2 linked regions of the Coturnix japonica genome follow. The protein of the gene in region 1 purifies or fractionates together with the protein of each later gene. This does not show direct contact. Links are inferred from orthologs where the notes say so. Each region holds a gene or a part of one and is shown on either strand. Other genes may lie near its edges.

Region 1 (7,833 bases):
ACAATGATCCCATTTTAAACATGCCACTCTGTAACCCTGAGCCGTCCTGCTGCCCTTTCAACCCAGCCTCGATGAGCTCACCAGCTCCAAATACAAGCAATGATCTGATTTTTAATGTCAAATTTGGCTAAAACAACCATATTCACGTCAGCTATTTCTGTTCTCAGTGCTAACCACACAGGATAGAGGAAAGCCAGCCCTGGAGGCTAGACACCAAGGCTGCCCATGCTTCCAAACACTACCCAAGGAGGCAAGTAAACAAGCTTCTCATAACTCATGTCTTCATTCAGCTGGAAAGCTTGCCATGCTAAGCAACACTGCAACAGATGTCGAAACCGCTTCTTCCCTGCTCACAGTTGTAATCCCTTTAGAGGCTCACACATTTCACTTCCCAATCAACTACAGATGGGAACACTTGGCTTTCCCCTGATTTCTTTTTTCACTTTCTTACCAAAGGGCTGTTTTACTTTATGTAAACAACTCATTTAAGTTCTCAGTAACCTCTGCAGACCTCCTCAGAGACTCCAGCGGTCTGATATCAGCTCACCTTCCATGATATAACACAACTGTGCAGTGAGTACTAAGGCTGAGGCTCAGCTCTGAGTCCTGCTTTCATGTGAAATATGAACAAGCATCTGCTAACGTGCACCAAAAAAAGTCTTTACACTAAATAAGGATTTTATCTCTACAAGTTGGCATCAGAACCGTAGCAACCTGCTCCATCAATCAAGATTATTAAAAAACAAGCGTTATCACATCCCAAACACCAAATGTGGACTCTCTTAAATAAGAGAGACACCTTACAAACTAATTCAGCACAAGCCAAGGCCTTTTCATCCCATATGTGGATGAACACACCACTGTGTGTTCAGAACTGGGGATAGTTCAGTACAGAGCACTCACCCCCACTTTCCGTAAGAGATCTCCCACGATGTTGAGTGCAGATATTCTAGCTGAAGGAGTAAGAGGGCTTGTACCAAATCCATTTGGTATAGCTGCAAACAAACACACTTTGTTATACACGTCACTCCTCCACTGTTAAATGTATATTTTTAATCACTTTTACATGGAGATAAATCTAAAATCTTACTGCAGACTCTTTGCACCAACAGTAACACAGGCTGCACAATCACTGGCCATAGAGAGAAGAAAAAGCTTAATTCCTGCCCAATACCCTCCTCCCCATTAGGTACCCAGGCAGAGTTCATGCACCCTCCATCTGCATAGCTACTGCCTGCAATCTATCTAATCCAACCAGAGCTTTCTCTGGAATCTACTTTAATTTAAAATAAATAAATAAATGTTTTAATCCTTGCGATTGACCTGAGCCTTCCAGATGGGAAGAGGACTAGGCTAATATCCCACAGCTTCCTGAGAGAACAGCACCCCCGAAAGCACATGGTAACAAAGACAGCCCAGACTGTCAGCACTGCTACCCACTATTTACCCACCAGTGAAATATTAGTCACAGCATTTCTCTGCAACCCCAAATAAATTCTACTGCAGTCCTCTACTGCGGAGTGCAATCCTCACCCCCTACAAAGCAGTAGCTAAGCTTCACTCTTTCTTTTCCATAGTATTAACTAATTATACTCATTAAACAGGTCTGACACTGCTCCAGTATTCCAGCACATGCTATGTAGGGATCCACATGTACCCTGTATTTACTTCAAGTCAGATTCAGACCAGGCCCTTGTTAGTAATTTTTGGGCAAGCAGAACGTACTCCCAACCAACCAGGCACAGTTTGCAGGAGTTGTACCTTTTGGGGAAGGAAAACTATTTTCAGATCCTTTTCCAACAGGTGTAGCTGGCAAGGAGAGAGAAGCCTGGACAGCTGAATCCATCTTTTCACAGTCTAGAGTTGGAGAGCTCGGCGCAGACTTGCGGGTGACTTCCTGCTGCCTTTCCCGTACTGCCAGCTCCTGCCGCAGGTCTGAGTGTGCAAGATAAAACACACATTGGATTAGTGACAGACTTCTCCAGCATTCTGTTCATTTATATAGAAGAGAATACTTGGCAATAATCAGTGATTCACTGTTGCTGGCTCTCTGCAGCAGCAAAAGACTCTATCTTAAATACCATCACTGCCAGATGGAAAGAGAGCCACATTCTACTGGCCCAGAGAGCTGTGTACACCCAGAAAGTGAGGCAGGTGACCTGGCCTCAGCATTCCTCCCTACTTGTAGTTTGAGTTCCATGGAAAGTGTGTTGCAGAAAAATGCAGCCAGTCACGAATGCCTGCTAACTGCATTCAGATGGGAGGTTAAGGAAACACGTTAATGACCTGATCTTGTGATCTTAGGATCCAACACTGCCCTTCCAGTTTAATAATCTGTAAGATCGCACACTAGCCAGATATTGTGAAGGGATGCTGTTTCTTGATTCATCAAAATGAGAACAAGCAGACTAAAGAGCTCCATAGCCCAAATGACAGGAAAAGAGAAGGGAAATCAGGAAACCAGTGTTTTATTTCCACTGTCTCTCTGGACTGCCTTGTATGACTACCTTGCTACCTCCCACTTCCATACAGATTTGCTATAAGGAACATCCAGCACAATTCAGTCATGGATCTGTAAAGTCTCTAGAGTGCCCAGAGGCAAGTAATAATACATTACGTGGTTGGCTTTTTTTTTGTTTTCTTTTGTTTCCTTTTCAGGCACAGCCTAAGAAGGTCCTTTATAGGTCCTTGCCTTCACTGAGGAACTGTTTCCAAAGAAATAGTTTGGAAAGAATTCTGAAAAACACTGATTTCTAACCTGCCGTGACAGCACACTAACAAGCACACTGCCCCACCAGAGAAATCACACTCCCTAACCACTAAAATAAAGTTTCCCCCATGTACTCAACATGAAACCTCTCAGGGAATTCCCAACTCTTACAGCACTGAGGATTATCTGAAGCATCTCTGATGCCACGGGTCTAACCACAGCCTTTATGGGCATATCTTAAAGAAGTCAGGCAAATTCCAACAGGCTTAGAAGGTAACAGCAGGTAGTATTTTTAAAGATGGTTATTTACCATTTAGCATGCGTTTCCCTGTTATTTCCTGTACTTTCCCTGTGCCTTGTGGCACAAAGCCATGGAGAGGGAACTTTTGGAACACAGCTTTCAGCTCTACTAAACCTGCAGAAAGCACTACTTTCCTACTCACCTTGGTTAAAAATCCTGACAGAGTCTGACACTAACTTTACCCAACATGAGGAATTTTTCCCTCTTAGATTCAACAGACATGCAAAGAACACAGAGCATAATGTTTATTAGCAGGTAAATTCCAACGCTTCTATTACACATCCAGTTTCAATCTCATTGAGTGAGGCTTTTTATAAACATGAGCTCTGGTTGCTTCATGTCTCTGTTAGTAAGCCAACAACATACAAAGACAGAACTAATCAAGCAAGCCATACCTCTGGCTTCATCCTTTAATCTCTGTACAGAAACTAGCAATGATTCCTTGTCATCCAGTTCACTTTCCAAGAATGCATTTCTCTCAATAGCCTGGTTCAGCCTTTGTTCAAAGTCTTCCAACGAAACTATTGTTGCCCTAGAAATAAAATCCAGAATATTAGGTTCTTCAGCTCAGCTAACTTAAAAGCGTATTCAAATACATAACAGAGGAAAAATGTTAGCGGGATCTACATTCAAGTTAGTTACTTGAAAGCGATGGAAATGCTTCTTAGAAAGGACCAGAACTCCAAAGAAGGGAGTGAGATGAAAAGAACATGACAGCATCTAGCTCTCCAAGACATACCAAATAGCTGGGACAGAGCCTGTGTGGCACACTCAGCTCCATTTTTCCCAAGTCATTCTCCAAAGTTATGTATTTCATGTATCGGCTCTGGAGAAACAGGCAGCAGCCCACAGAAAGAAGGGTACTGGGATATTTGTTCCATGATTTCAGTGAGACAACTTATGTGTGTCAAAAGTTAGTCATGAGGTTAAGAGTGCTGTGGAAACAAGGCCTCAGCTCTTAGATGTTATTGCCAAATAGCCAGAGGCTCATTCCTGGTCCCACTGAATCAGTGGCAAAATTCCCATTCAGCAGAACGGAAGCATGATCTACTCCAAAAATGGGCGTTTCTTGCAGCAGCCTGTTCATTTTCTGCTCTTACACAGACCACATTTGCTCCCCACGGTCATTAAGCTGTTATGCAAGGAAAGAGGAGACTCCTTTGGCGTGTTTAATTTAAAAAGGACTAAGTAAAGCACTAGCTTCCTACTTCAAAGGGGCTTTGAGCTACAGGGATCACAAATGTAAGAGTCACTGGGCTGGCAGTATCAAAACTAGAGCACTGGCCTCCCTTGCATGGCTCATTTCTCACAAGAACATGAAGCATTTCAGGTACCCCCCACAAGCTTTTCTTCTGCAGTGCAACACTACCAGATGATGGAGGTGAACTCCAAGGGTAAGTTGCACTTTACAAAGAATCAAGTGACTTAGGTTCTTTTTAAGATTATTTTTTGCATGCATATTTTTGTCCCCCCCACTAAAGGAATAATAAAAACATGAATCTGAATAACACAGACAAGCTCTTGTGAATATTTAAGGAAATAAGAGTTTTGCAGCCTTCACCTCTTTGCACGTTCCAAGTCATCGTTGGCCTGCTCCAGCTCCCTGACATACTTATGAAGCTGATCTTTAATGGCCCGTGTCTGGCTCAGGTCATCCTCTAACAATGACACCTGCTTGTAGCTTTGTGCATACTGGTGCTCCAGTTTCTCCTGAAAGAAAGAAATGTCCAAAGATAAGTATCAATAGCATCCACTCAGTGGTCAAATGGGACAAAGCAACACACTAGCTGCAGTCCACTGATCTGGGATTGCATGGCACGAACTGTAAAGGCAGAGGGAATGTACTCTGAACATCAGAAAGGAACAAAGGATACAATTACACACACTGTCCTGTGCACTGACTACTCATAATGACACAGCTGGCTGTTCAGAGATGCGCCCCCTGCACTCACAGCTGCTCTAAAGCCTAAACCATCTAGAAAACCAGAGAGAAATCAAACTGCACAGCCTCCCCTTCATGCCTCTCTCCCCTTACAATAGCCACACTGTCACAAGAACTCATCTGACATCTCCATTACCGAAAATCAGAGCCACTGCGATCTGTTACCAAAAACCTCCAGGTCCACAAACTTTTCTTTGAAAGACTGTAAGATTAATTCCAAAACATGCTTTCATCTGCTCTAATGGTACAGATAGAGGCTTATGGAAAAACTGCTGACCTTAAAAAAATAAGTACCAGCTATTGGGACTGCGCATGTGAACAGTAGTCCCAAAAACATCACTGTTGTTGGGTAAGATCCCAACTCTTGCTTTCATAAAATAATCCAAGATCACCAGAACAGGCACTTTTCAGGATCCCAAAAGAGGCAAGAACTTCTTAATGGAGAGATATTACCTAAAATTGACCTTCTGCACACACAGATCCTTATGAAAACCCTGTCTCCATAGATACGGCTATTAGGAAAAAAAAAAAAGCCCAAAAACTGCAAAGAAAGAGGACAACATGGTGGTCTGACAAAACATACTTGTGTTGTCCTCCCCGTTGCTATGCTGATGCTGCCTGTGTACATAACAAAGCCACCACTTGGCGAAGCCTGCAGAATATAAACAGAGGAGCACAAACTCAATGACAAGTGTCTAAGGTATGCTGCTGGCCTTATTTGGAGTACATGCCATGCTCAAGACTAGACCTTAAGCAGATGATTCCCTTTACTTCGTTTAGGTATCCAATAACCAAGAACAAGAACAGACAGCCTAAAATGAAAGCCGACACATATCTGAAGGAAGAATCAATATCATTACAGATTAGACCTACCTTTAATGTTTCCACTTCATATTTCAGCCTTTGGTTATCTGCTTGTAAATCTCTATTCCTCTGCTCAGCCTGCACCAGCTGTGCTTCCAACTCAGCTTCTAGTTCTCTGCTTCCCTCCTGAAATTCAGCCAGCTCTTCACGAGCTTCCTGGAAGCTGTAAGGAGATTTCATCAGTTCAAAATGCAGCTTCTCTCAAGCACAAAGTTCACCGCTCTATAGAAATAATTAGGTGAAAAAGCACCAAGAGTTTTAAAGTACTTAACCAGGGACCTCTACAGGGAAAGTAAAAACTGGGGGAAACAGAGAAACTGCATTGTTTACCTACAAATGGAAATTCAGCCCTTTATATCAAATAACTCTATTCAATACACATGCAAATACAACCTATATCAAGGCTATTTCCAGGATTCCTGCAAGTCTGACACTTGGTACCCCACTAGCCTTCACTCTAGCAGCCTTGAGAGAGTCACTAAGTAAAGCTTTTAACCTGCTTTAGGCAAAAACCAGCACAGAACAATAGTCACTGCATCTCAGCACTACCTGGAAATATAAGTTTGCTGGAAAGCATTAAGGTTTGGATCTCAGGGTTACTAAGTGCTTTGGTAGGAAGCCAGCATTTACCCACCTTATGCCACTGCAAGGTATTAAATTACTAGAAGCAGCAACTCCACATATTTCACTAATTACACTCTCATCTTTACCATACGTAATAGCTCAACTCTTTGCAACCAGCAGAGAAAACTGATGATATTTAGGAAGCTACATATTCATTGGCCTCAGAGAGACCTGACAGACTTTTCTCATACAGCTCAGGGATCTCAAATGCCCACCCTCTGTTCCCTACACCCAGAAAACAGACCCAAACAAAACAACAGCTTGCACACTGGGCTCCTTGGACTTGAGAGAGGTTTAGCTGGCTTTGCTTCTATTGCACACTAACATAGAGTGCAAGTAAAGCTCTCCAAAGGCAATGAGCAGGAAACCACCACTACTGACTCCCCTCCCCACAACAAACCACAAGCAGCACACAAGACAACAAGTTCTCTTGCCACTTTTTGTAACCAAAAAGCCTTCTGCTCCCCTTAAAAGATGGCAGAGGCAAACACAGGCAGAACTATGAGCTATAATGAATGTGCTTCAACATATTGCAGCCAGCTACCAAATAAGAAACTTCTCAGACCAAGTGCAAGAAGCCTGAGGGAACAGTAATGATACCAGGCAAACCCACAGGCAGTCTTCCTACTGCAAAACATCAAGCTAGTACTTAAGACAGCATTTTAATTATACAAACATACACATGATCATAGAAGAGCTCTTCTCCTGCTCTAACGTGCTCAGTCTTGAGTTCATGGCATAGTAACACTGAGAATGAAATACTCAGCCTGCACAAGGCTGGATCTAAAAGCTGCACCTAAAGCTGGAAATGGTGAGATTCATTTTAATACATCTAATGCTCATTTTGATTAAAGTCTAGCAGAGAAATAGATTAAGCTACATTCTCAGTCATCTAGAACCAAATCCACTCTGAAAATATCCAACAGTACCTTTGTTTGTACTTCAAGGAAAGCTCTTTCCAATAGGCAGTTTCCTCTTTTGGACTTGAGAAGGTTGGAATTTCCTCACTGTCCATGTTCAATATGACCTGTAGGATGCAGACATAAGAAAACGCTTAGTATGATGAGGCAGGCAGAGTAACCCCCCACTGCTGCTGTACTTCAAAGCTGTGGCCTGTCAGGAGCAAACAGACTTGAGACTGGCCTGCAGAATGTTAATGATTCCTAACAGCCACCTCTGAGCAAAGACCAGCTGCAACAAGTAACATCATGGTCTCCAACCTCTGGAAACGCTCATGCAGCAGCCTGAAAAAGAGACCACAAAATTGGGCTGTATCATTCACCGACCATGGAAACAGCAGTTAAAGCCACTGGCTCATTTAGGACCACCAGGGGTAATGATTTACAGCTATCACAGTTTCCACTTGGATTTGTAAAAGGTTTTTCCTACAGT
Region 2 (7,833 bases), on another chromosome or scaffold:
AATTAAATCTCATTGCTCGGTCTGATTGATCATTCACTGTGGAGACTGCTGAACTTGAACCACCCTCATATGTCACCATCACATATCAGATGACACTTCAGGCTGAAAATGTTAGCAGGTTTCTTGGAAAATGAGCAGACTGAATTTGATTACTGCATGCTAAGTGGAATTCAGCCTTTGACTGACCACGCTATGAGGAATCAGGTGTAACACCCTGAATTTAGTCACTCCACAATTCTAGTGACAGATCTAAAAAGGTATATTGTCCAATACCAGAGAACAATGACAGACTAGTTTTCATTTTTCTGTTGAAGTACATTTGCAAATATTTAGCATGCAAGCCAAATTCTGGGAGAGTTCAAGTTTTACACAGCTGTTTTCTTCAATAAAGTTTTCATTTTGATTCCATTTGGATGGTTTGCCTCTTTCTGCCAGTTATTTTCAGTGCTGAAAGCCATCAGTAGAATGATACATGTCCCTGTGGGTGAAATCCCATCCACATAATTCAGCATTTTCACAGCATTACCCAGCTGAGTTGTTTTATGATGAGGAAAATGAAACATTAAAAACACTTCCATGTCCATAACACGCCTCTTAGAATTGAAATTAAAAAAAGAAGTTGAAGTCCTACATGGCAAAAGCCTGGTCCTGTATTTTCCAGACATTATGTGACTACTTAATCATTCTTTACAATAAGATACGAGATGTTAGAAATGTGTTTTGAGGATGTGAGAATGTCTCTCTGACTTCCAGTGTTAATGTGTTTGCAGCATCCGGTGTATTGTGTCAATGTAGTTGGAACACAGAATGCACACAATCTCATCACTGTCTCCACGGATGGCAAAATGTGCTCCTGGAGCCTGGACATGCTCTCAACTCCACAGGTGGGTTTGTTTTTACCTATACAAGAGAAAATCACCTTCAGCAAAGGAGGATGGATACCTGCTTAATGGAACATAGCTCCTAAAAGCCAAAACCTCACATCTTATACAAACTAAAACCAGTGGATGCACTTGAAAGAATACAGCTTGCTTCCAGCAGTCTCTGCTAAGAGCCAAAACCCATTTCCTTTACCACAAATCATATAATTATTATAATACGTTAATACATAGGTCAGTTTCAAGTGAAAATGAAATAATCCATTTTAAAGCATGGTAATTACAGAAGTTGCCTGTGGTATAAATTGTACTTACTCTACAGTGTTGTTTAACAAATATGGACTAGATTGCACTGCCACTGAACACACCCTAGGCACTATGGGTTTCCAAGGCACAAAGTCTGAAAGCTCACTTTGTTGCCTGCTTCCAGTATTTAAAAGGAAAAAAAACACAATGCAAATCAAATGTTTTAGAGCTAACTCCCCCCCCCCCCTTTTCCCGCTCTGGAATGTTTGTTGCTATTGTTTTCCCTTCCCCCTCCTACCCCCCTTTGTATCAGGACTGAAAGGAAGTCCAAGAAAATTGTCCAAACCACTTGTGATTATAATAATGGAAACTAAACAAAGAATCTGGTGCTGAGGAGGCCCTATGGAAAGTGTTATCTTTCAGAGTAGTACATTTGTATATTTCCTGTTCCAGCATATCACTGTTTTATTAAACATCATAGGATCTGATCATGAAAATGCTGAATAGGAACTGCTTTTAATGATTCCTTTAATTATCCATTAATAATGCATTAATGTGCAATTACTCTTGAGTTATTTGCTTTTCAGTGTTGACACAAGATGTGGGACTCCTCCCCTCCTTAGCCATCTAAAGGTCCCTGTCAAGTCCAAGCTGATCATTTGAGTTCCTTTTACAGTTAATTTAGAGAGAGACCAGCACTTCTAGAGGACAACTCAATCCATCCCAGCATGAGATACCACTTTAGATATTCTAGGGTACGGCACTGGACTTACATCTTAGGATGTAAGCTACTTCTGGAACTCATCCCATCTAACCTCTTACTGATAGTGAGGCCAACTTCAAAGTTTGATTGTGTTCTTCATGCTCCTCATATACATTATGGGTCTGGTAGTTGTGTCTGGGGACTATGAAAAACTGCTGCAGTTCTGGAAATGAAGAAGAGGCATCTAAAATGGCCCAGACATCTGTGTTTAGGAACCTGAATCCTTTGCCCTATTTTTCACTTAAATGTAGGGAAGATAAATCCTTGTGTGTTTACTTAGTGGAATACTGAATTTTCCAGCAGATATTTGTGAACATTTCAGTTCCAGAATTTCATCATTCAGATGGAATTTCCCAGATTCAAAACTGACTTTCAACAAGGATGGGAATGCATCCCATGTCACACTGAAATTCAGTGTATGGCTCACAGTTATCTTGAAAAGGACACGGGGCTTGATGTCAAGCTACACGCCATAGCTTTAAACTGAGCAGAGCAGTATTGCTGATTTGCATTAGCTTGAAACTTTCCAAAGACACAGATCCAGAGCACTCATATACAGCCATGGTGTAGGCTTTGAAGGAGATTCTGCCACAGTATCTGGCCATATCTAAGGACACTAAACAATGATCTCACCCCTGAAGATTTTTGTAGAAATATATGGTCCACAGGTGCTCTGCCAATGCATTTTCCAGGTCTTATTTTTCCTTGTTAATAGAAGCAAATATATGTGAAAGAAAAATATAAATCAAGCAGAAGTATTTCTCTATGGATTTGCAGCCCTCTCCTCCCATAGGGACGCTCACTTTCTTCAGCTACAGCAAAAATCCCTCCTGATAAAAATGCTGTAATCTTTAGCTCGAGAAGAATAGCAGCCTGGGCATTTAAATGTAGAAAGCACACACACTTAAAGAGCTGAAAATGAAAATTACTAAATCATTCAGGCCTTTTGTGGGATTCTTGGGTTACACCATTTAGGCTGCACAACCAAAAAGGTTAGAGTTGTGCAAAATCTGCTTAAAGCATATGCGTCGTGTAGCAGCATACGCATCATGTAGCCGCCACAGGCTGCTCACGCTGGTTGTATTCGAGATGTACAAAAACGAGTATGCTGATTTACTTTGAAATATGGCTAGAAGATGAAAATCTGCTTGCTGGTTTGTAGCTCGATGGTGGGATCCAGAGAAAATATTTATGATTAGTTCAGAAAATCTCTGAAAAACAATGTTTAGGATAGCAAGAATGATATGACACTGACTTCTGAATGTTGTTCTGCAGAGGGACAAATGTCACTGTCTGATAGACGCCTCAGGTGCATGTGATATTACATGTGTTTCCTGACAAACAACTGATTTTAGACAATGTTTGTAAGTAGAAGGGTATTTTTTATTAGAGCCTGGGGCTGGCAAGTATAGCCATTAAGGTGTTATCTTTAGTTTCTGCGCCATTAGATTTTAAATTCTCACCTGTCATCTCTGCCTGATTAAAGATGATGTTGCAGCCACTCTGAAGTGTCTGACACAGCATCAGGGATGGCAGGAGCCGTGCATCCTGATTGTGACATTGCATCTTCTTCCATTGCCCAAAACAGAACCCTAAATCCTGTGACTGGATCAGATGATTCCTCCTTCCTTTCTTGGTACTCTGTATAACATTTAGAAATGAATCAGCAAAACAAAAACAACATCCACAAACAAGCCAAACAAAAGGACAGCTACAGAGTAATAACAAAGATCTATTTCGACAGGAGAGCATGGAGCTGGTGTACAACAAGTCCAAACCAGTGGCAGTTACAGGAATGGCTTTCCCAACTGGAGATGTCAATAACTTCGTTGTTGGCAGTGAAGAGGGAACAGTCTACACAGCCTGTCGTCATGGAAGGTGACTTTAAGCTTTATGTACTTCTGTAACATCATCTGTATTGGCATGAGGTAGCCACGTGTGTGGAGTGTGCTTAGCTTTTTGTCCCTTGGATGAGCAGGATCTGTGCTGGGACGGGACTAGGGTGGGAACTGCCCAGCTTCATGCGTGTGTGTTACTGCCATGCACTGCAGTGCTTGGCCAACCTCCCTGTGCAGTCAGCAGGGAGCAGTAACTGCTGGAAGGTGTGACTTCTCTTGCCTTTTCCACTTCAAGAAGGGATGACTGGCATCCTGGAAATGCCTCTTTCTCCGCCCTGATTCTAAGGGAAGCCTCAAGTGCTGGCTGAGGTGTAGATTTCTGTGTTGGGGCAGGTTGTACCAGGCCCTAGGAGAAACCTTTGTTGCGGGGTAGTCAGACGTAAGCCACTTGGAAGAAAGGGTAATCTGCTTTATTTTCTTTACCATTTTCAGCTTCATCTTCAGTCTCTACAAGCAGATAGCAAAGAAAAGAAAGCACAACAAGGGTCTGAGTGCTGTATGGCTAAACACTGATTTCTCCACTTCTAAAGCTAGGAAAGTGCAAATTCAGTTCCATAATTTAAACAAGTTCCTGATTTTGCACCCTGTAAACTTTCTAAGGCTGCAGTCAAAAACAAGGAGCTCTCACCACAGGCCTCTGCAGAGATCAATTCCTTGTGTTTGCTACAGTGATCTGCAGGGTGCTTGCGTGCTCTCAGCTTCTGGTAGCAGTTTCATCCTCTGGGATGCTTGAGTGGCTTCTGTAAAGAGCAGGCTATTTCACTGATAGATCTAAAGCTGACCTCCCACTTCAGTGGTCTTCAGATTCATATGTTACCACAGCCCTTGTTTCAGGGACCAAATACACACTGGCAGTGGTTTAGCAGTGGTTTAAGATTGTAAGACTTCTATTACACATTCTTCATATTGTATAGTCACAGTTTTACATACATTTTCTTCAGAATTATTTTTATTTAAAAGTATTTTTTACTTTACCCTGCTGACAGTATTGCAGTGCTGTGTCTGTTTAGGCATTATCCTGATAGGTTGTGGCTGCTGGTCTGAATTAGTTTTTGGCTGCTGGGATAAATGGAGCACGCCCAAGGGCATTTCTCACATCTGATCTTTCAGATGTGCCTGGTTTGTTCCTCACAAGAGAAGGACAACAGATTTGGCATCATTTGCTTACAGGATGAGCAAAGCTGCCCGCTTTCTTTCTTACCCAGATTTGTGCTTTTCCTTCCTATTCTAGCCTCACTCTGACGATATGCACACCTTCCCATGCTCACAATAATGACTTTGATACCCCATCATGTGAGCAGTCCCTTCACATTTTGTGAAGAAGGATTTTCTTCCCAGGGACATGACTGACTGCTGTGCAGAGTTATTTTAAATATTCGAGCAAAGAAGAATTGCAAATGATATGTCATTAGCATCTTTGCATTTTTATTTTAATGGTTATTCCTCGTAATAATAGTGTACTCAGATGTATAAGATGTAGTGTAATTATAATTTCTAATTACTTTATAATTATACATACATGTTATTTCAAGCTATAGTAGTAGACAGTGTATATAGAAGTCAGTAATGCGTGTCTTCAGAAGGAAAAAGAGCTGTCTCTCAGTGCTGGATCCTGAGCACTAAGAGTGCCCAGAGCAGTGAGCTGCTGCAGGCAAAGGCCTTGCTGAAGGGAGACTGCTTTGCAGGTTAAATGGAGCTTTAAAAGAAAACAGGATTCTAAGAGGAAAAGAAAATGATGTTAAAACACCACGTTACTCACATTCTGAATGTAGATGTCTCTTCCTCCTGCAGCAAAGCTGGCATTGGTGAAATTTTTGAAGGCCACCAAGGACCTGTCACAGGAATCAATTGCCACATGGCAGTGGGCTCAATTGACTTTTCCCATCTCTTTGTCACGTCATCATTTGACTGGACAGTGAAGCTGTGGACCACAAAGGTGAGGAAAACGAGCTGGGATGTGATGGGTAATGCTACTTGTGAAAATGCCATTGTCAGAAATGTTTCACTTGAAATCAATTCACTGAAAGGCTGTTCTTAGAAAAGGCGTAGTGTTAAAGTGAAATGAACACCCAGTGCAACTACGTCAGCCATCTTTGCCATGGAGCCTACCCTATAAAGGTAGTTTCATCTGGCTTGCACTTCAGTATTAACCCCAGTGTTGAGCAATTTCACTAGGAAAGGAGAATAGAATGGATCGTAGTGGCAGTCATCACAGAATTCATCTAGCGCTCCTTGTGCAGGCTGAATTGCGAGGCTAATACTGTGCACTGTGACAGTACAACAGCAGGAACGCTTTCTTCTGATGAAGCAACAGGGAGGTACATGTACTACAGTGCAGTCAATATCCTTCAAGAAAATTATTGCTGTAGGAGGCTGTGGTAGCCAGAAAGTATAACTCATCCCAGTGACATTAGACACCAATGGCTGGGAGCAGGGAGGAAATACATGCTTGTACATTCGTGACTTTTGTTGCTGACTGCTCTGTGGATGTGTCTATGTCACCTCTTACAGGGACAACACTGTGAACAGTGGAAAAGAGCACACAGGCCTGCGGAGCTTTGAATACCCACACTCCATCTATGTATAAATATAGACTAATGACAGAGTCACCGCAAACTGCATGACAGTTTAAGTAGACCAGCCTCATTGTGCGGGCTGAGTGGAATAGGAGAAGTAAAATATCTAACATTTAAGTCATCTAAACAGTTATTTTTGTCCTACATCAGAGCAGAGAACTACATTCCAAGCACCGGACTTCTGTCTTCATCATTTATTTGTGTCTGCGTTTGGTTCACATCTTGAGCTGTATCCGACAGAGCTCCAGTGCTGGAAATTGACCCCAGTCAGGAAATATCTCAGCGTGTGTTCCTCAAACTCATCAGGGCTTGGAGATGCTGAGACAGATGCACAGCAAATGTAAACACAGAAGTGATCAGAAGGAATCATGTGGCCGCCTTGTTCTGGAAATAGAAGCACAGTTACCTAGATAATAGCTTGAATTAGCCTCTGTGTAGCTTCATAATGCATTTGTTAATAGCTTGATCTGATGTGTACGCTAATTAATAGGTATCTTTGCATGATGAGCAATGACCACAGCTGACAGTTTTGTTTGAGTATTGCAGTTTCTGAGCATTGCATACTTGGTAGGAGGAGGGGTGCATGATTTACCTGATTCTCTCCATAAACAGCAGTGGATCCAGCCTTAACCTAATGCAGAACTGACAATGGAGGGTGGTCGTGGGCAGGTTGGGATGAGTTTGGGGTCAGTCCTAGGTAGTGTTAGAGAGTGCTGTGGGATAACTCAGTGATAGAGAGCTGGCTCAGGCTGGTGAGTCTGGTGTCTCAGAGAAGAGAGTGCTGGTCAGTGGCACTGGTGGCAAGGGAGTATCAGATGGTTGAAGCTGAAGTTAAGTAAGAGGAAAAGAATTTGTGGGTACTGGGTGGAAAATGAAATGAAGGTACTGAAATACCTGCATTCTAAATATACACGTCCAGAAAAGTTTGGCATAAGTATCAGACACTCAGCTTGAGGCTGAATATCTCACTAAGGGTCTCATCCTTCTGCAGCATAAAGGAAATTGTATTAAGGAATGAGAAGGCTTGGGTTTTTATTTTGAATGCCTGGGTTTTTGGAAGTTAGTGGCAGCACTAACACAGCATATTTTGGACACAAAGACACTGCAGTTAGCAGTACATGGTAATCCTTGTGGAATACTTCATTGCCAAAACAGTTAGGTCAGATGCTGTTCAATACAGTCAGTTTTCAAAGAACCAAGCAATTTAAATTTTTAATACCTCATCTGGCAAGAGGGACTTCCTGAGAAAGCTACTTGACCTAACCGATGGGGGCAGGGATGTGCGTGTGACACAACACAGCACTGCTGTGAGCTGGAAACAGTATTGCTGTACTGGCTCCATTGGTTTCTCCTGGAGCAGATCTGAGCAGCAACAGCAGCTCTAGGCTGCTGCACTGCTAGTCTCTGTGTTGTTCAGAACTACTCTGAGGCTCTGAACAAGTTTGTGAAATGTAATGTTTTCCTTTTCTTCC

Evidence for each region.
Region 2: the proteins of NDEL1 (region 1) and DYNC1I1 purify together in Homo sapiens (affinity purification with western blotting; 3 studies listed by BioGRID and IntAct, with this or other methods). This does not show direct contact. The link is inferred for Coturnix japonica from reciprocal best matches to the Homo sapiens genes NDEL1 and DYNC1I1.

What each region holds. Positions count from the first base shown.
Region 1 is NC_029533.1:1,498,753-1,506,585, reverse strand, and holds part of NDEL1 (nuclear distribution protein nudE-like 1), read right to left. Parts: intron 7,469-7,833; coding exon 7,371-7,468; intron 5,981-7,370; coding exon 5,827-5,980; intron 4,722-5,826; coding exon 4,573-4,721; intron 3,544-4,572; coding exon 3,407-3,543; intron 1,936-3,406; coding exon 1,762-1,935; intron 996-1,761; coding exon 904-995; intron 1-903. UniProt on the Homo sapiens protein: Required for organization of the cellular microtubule array and microtubule anchoring at the centrosome. May regulate microtubule organization at least in part by targeting the microtubule severing protein KATNA1 to the centrosome.
Region 2 is NC_029517.1:21,977,694-21,985,526, forward strand, and holds part of DYNC1I1 (cytoplasmic dynein 1 intermediate chain 1), read left to right. Parts: intron 1-770; coding exon 771-884; intron 885-3,631; coding exon 3,632-3,765; intron 3,766-5,576; coding exon 5,577-5,721; intron 5,722-7,833. UniProt on the Homo sapiens protein: Acts as one of several non-catalytic accessory components of the cytoplasmic dynein 1 complex that are thought to be involved in linking dynein to cargos and to adapter proteins that regulate dynein function.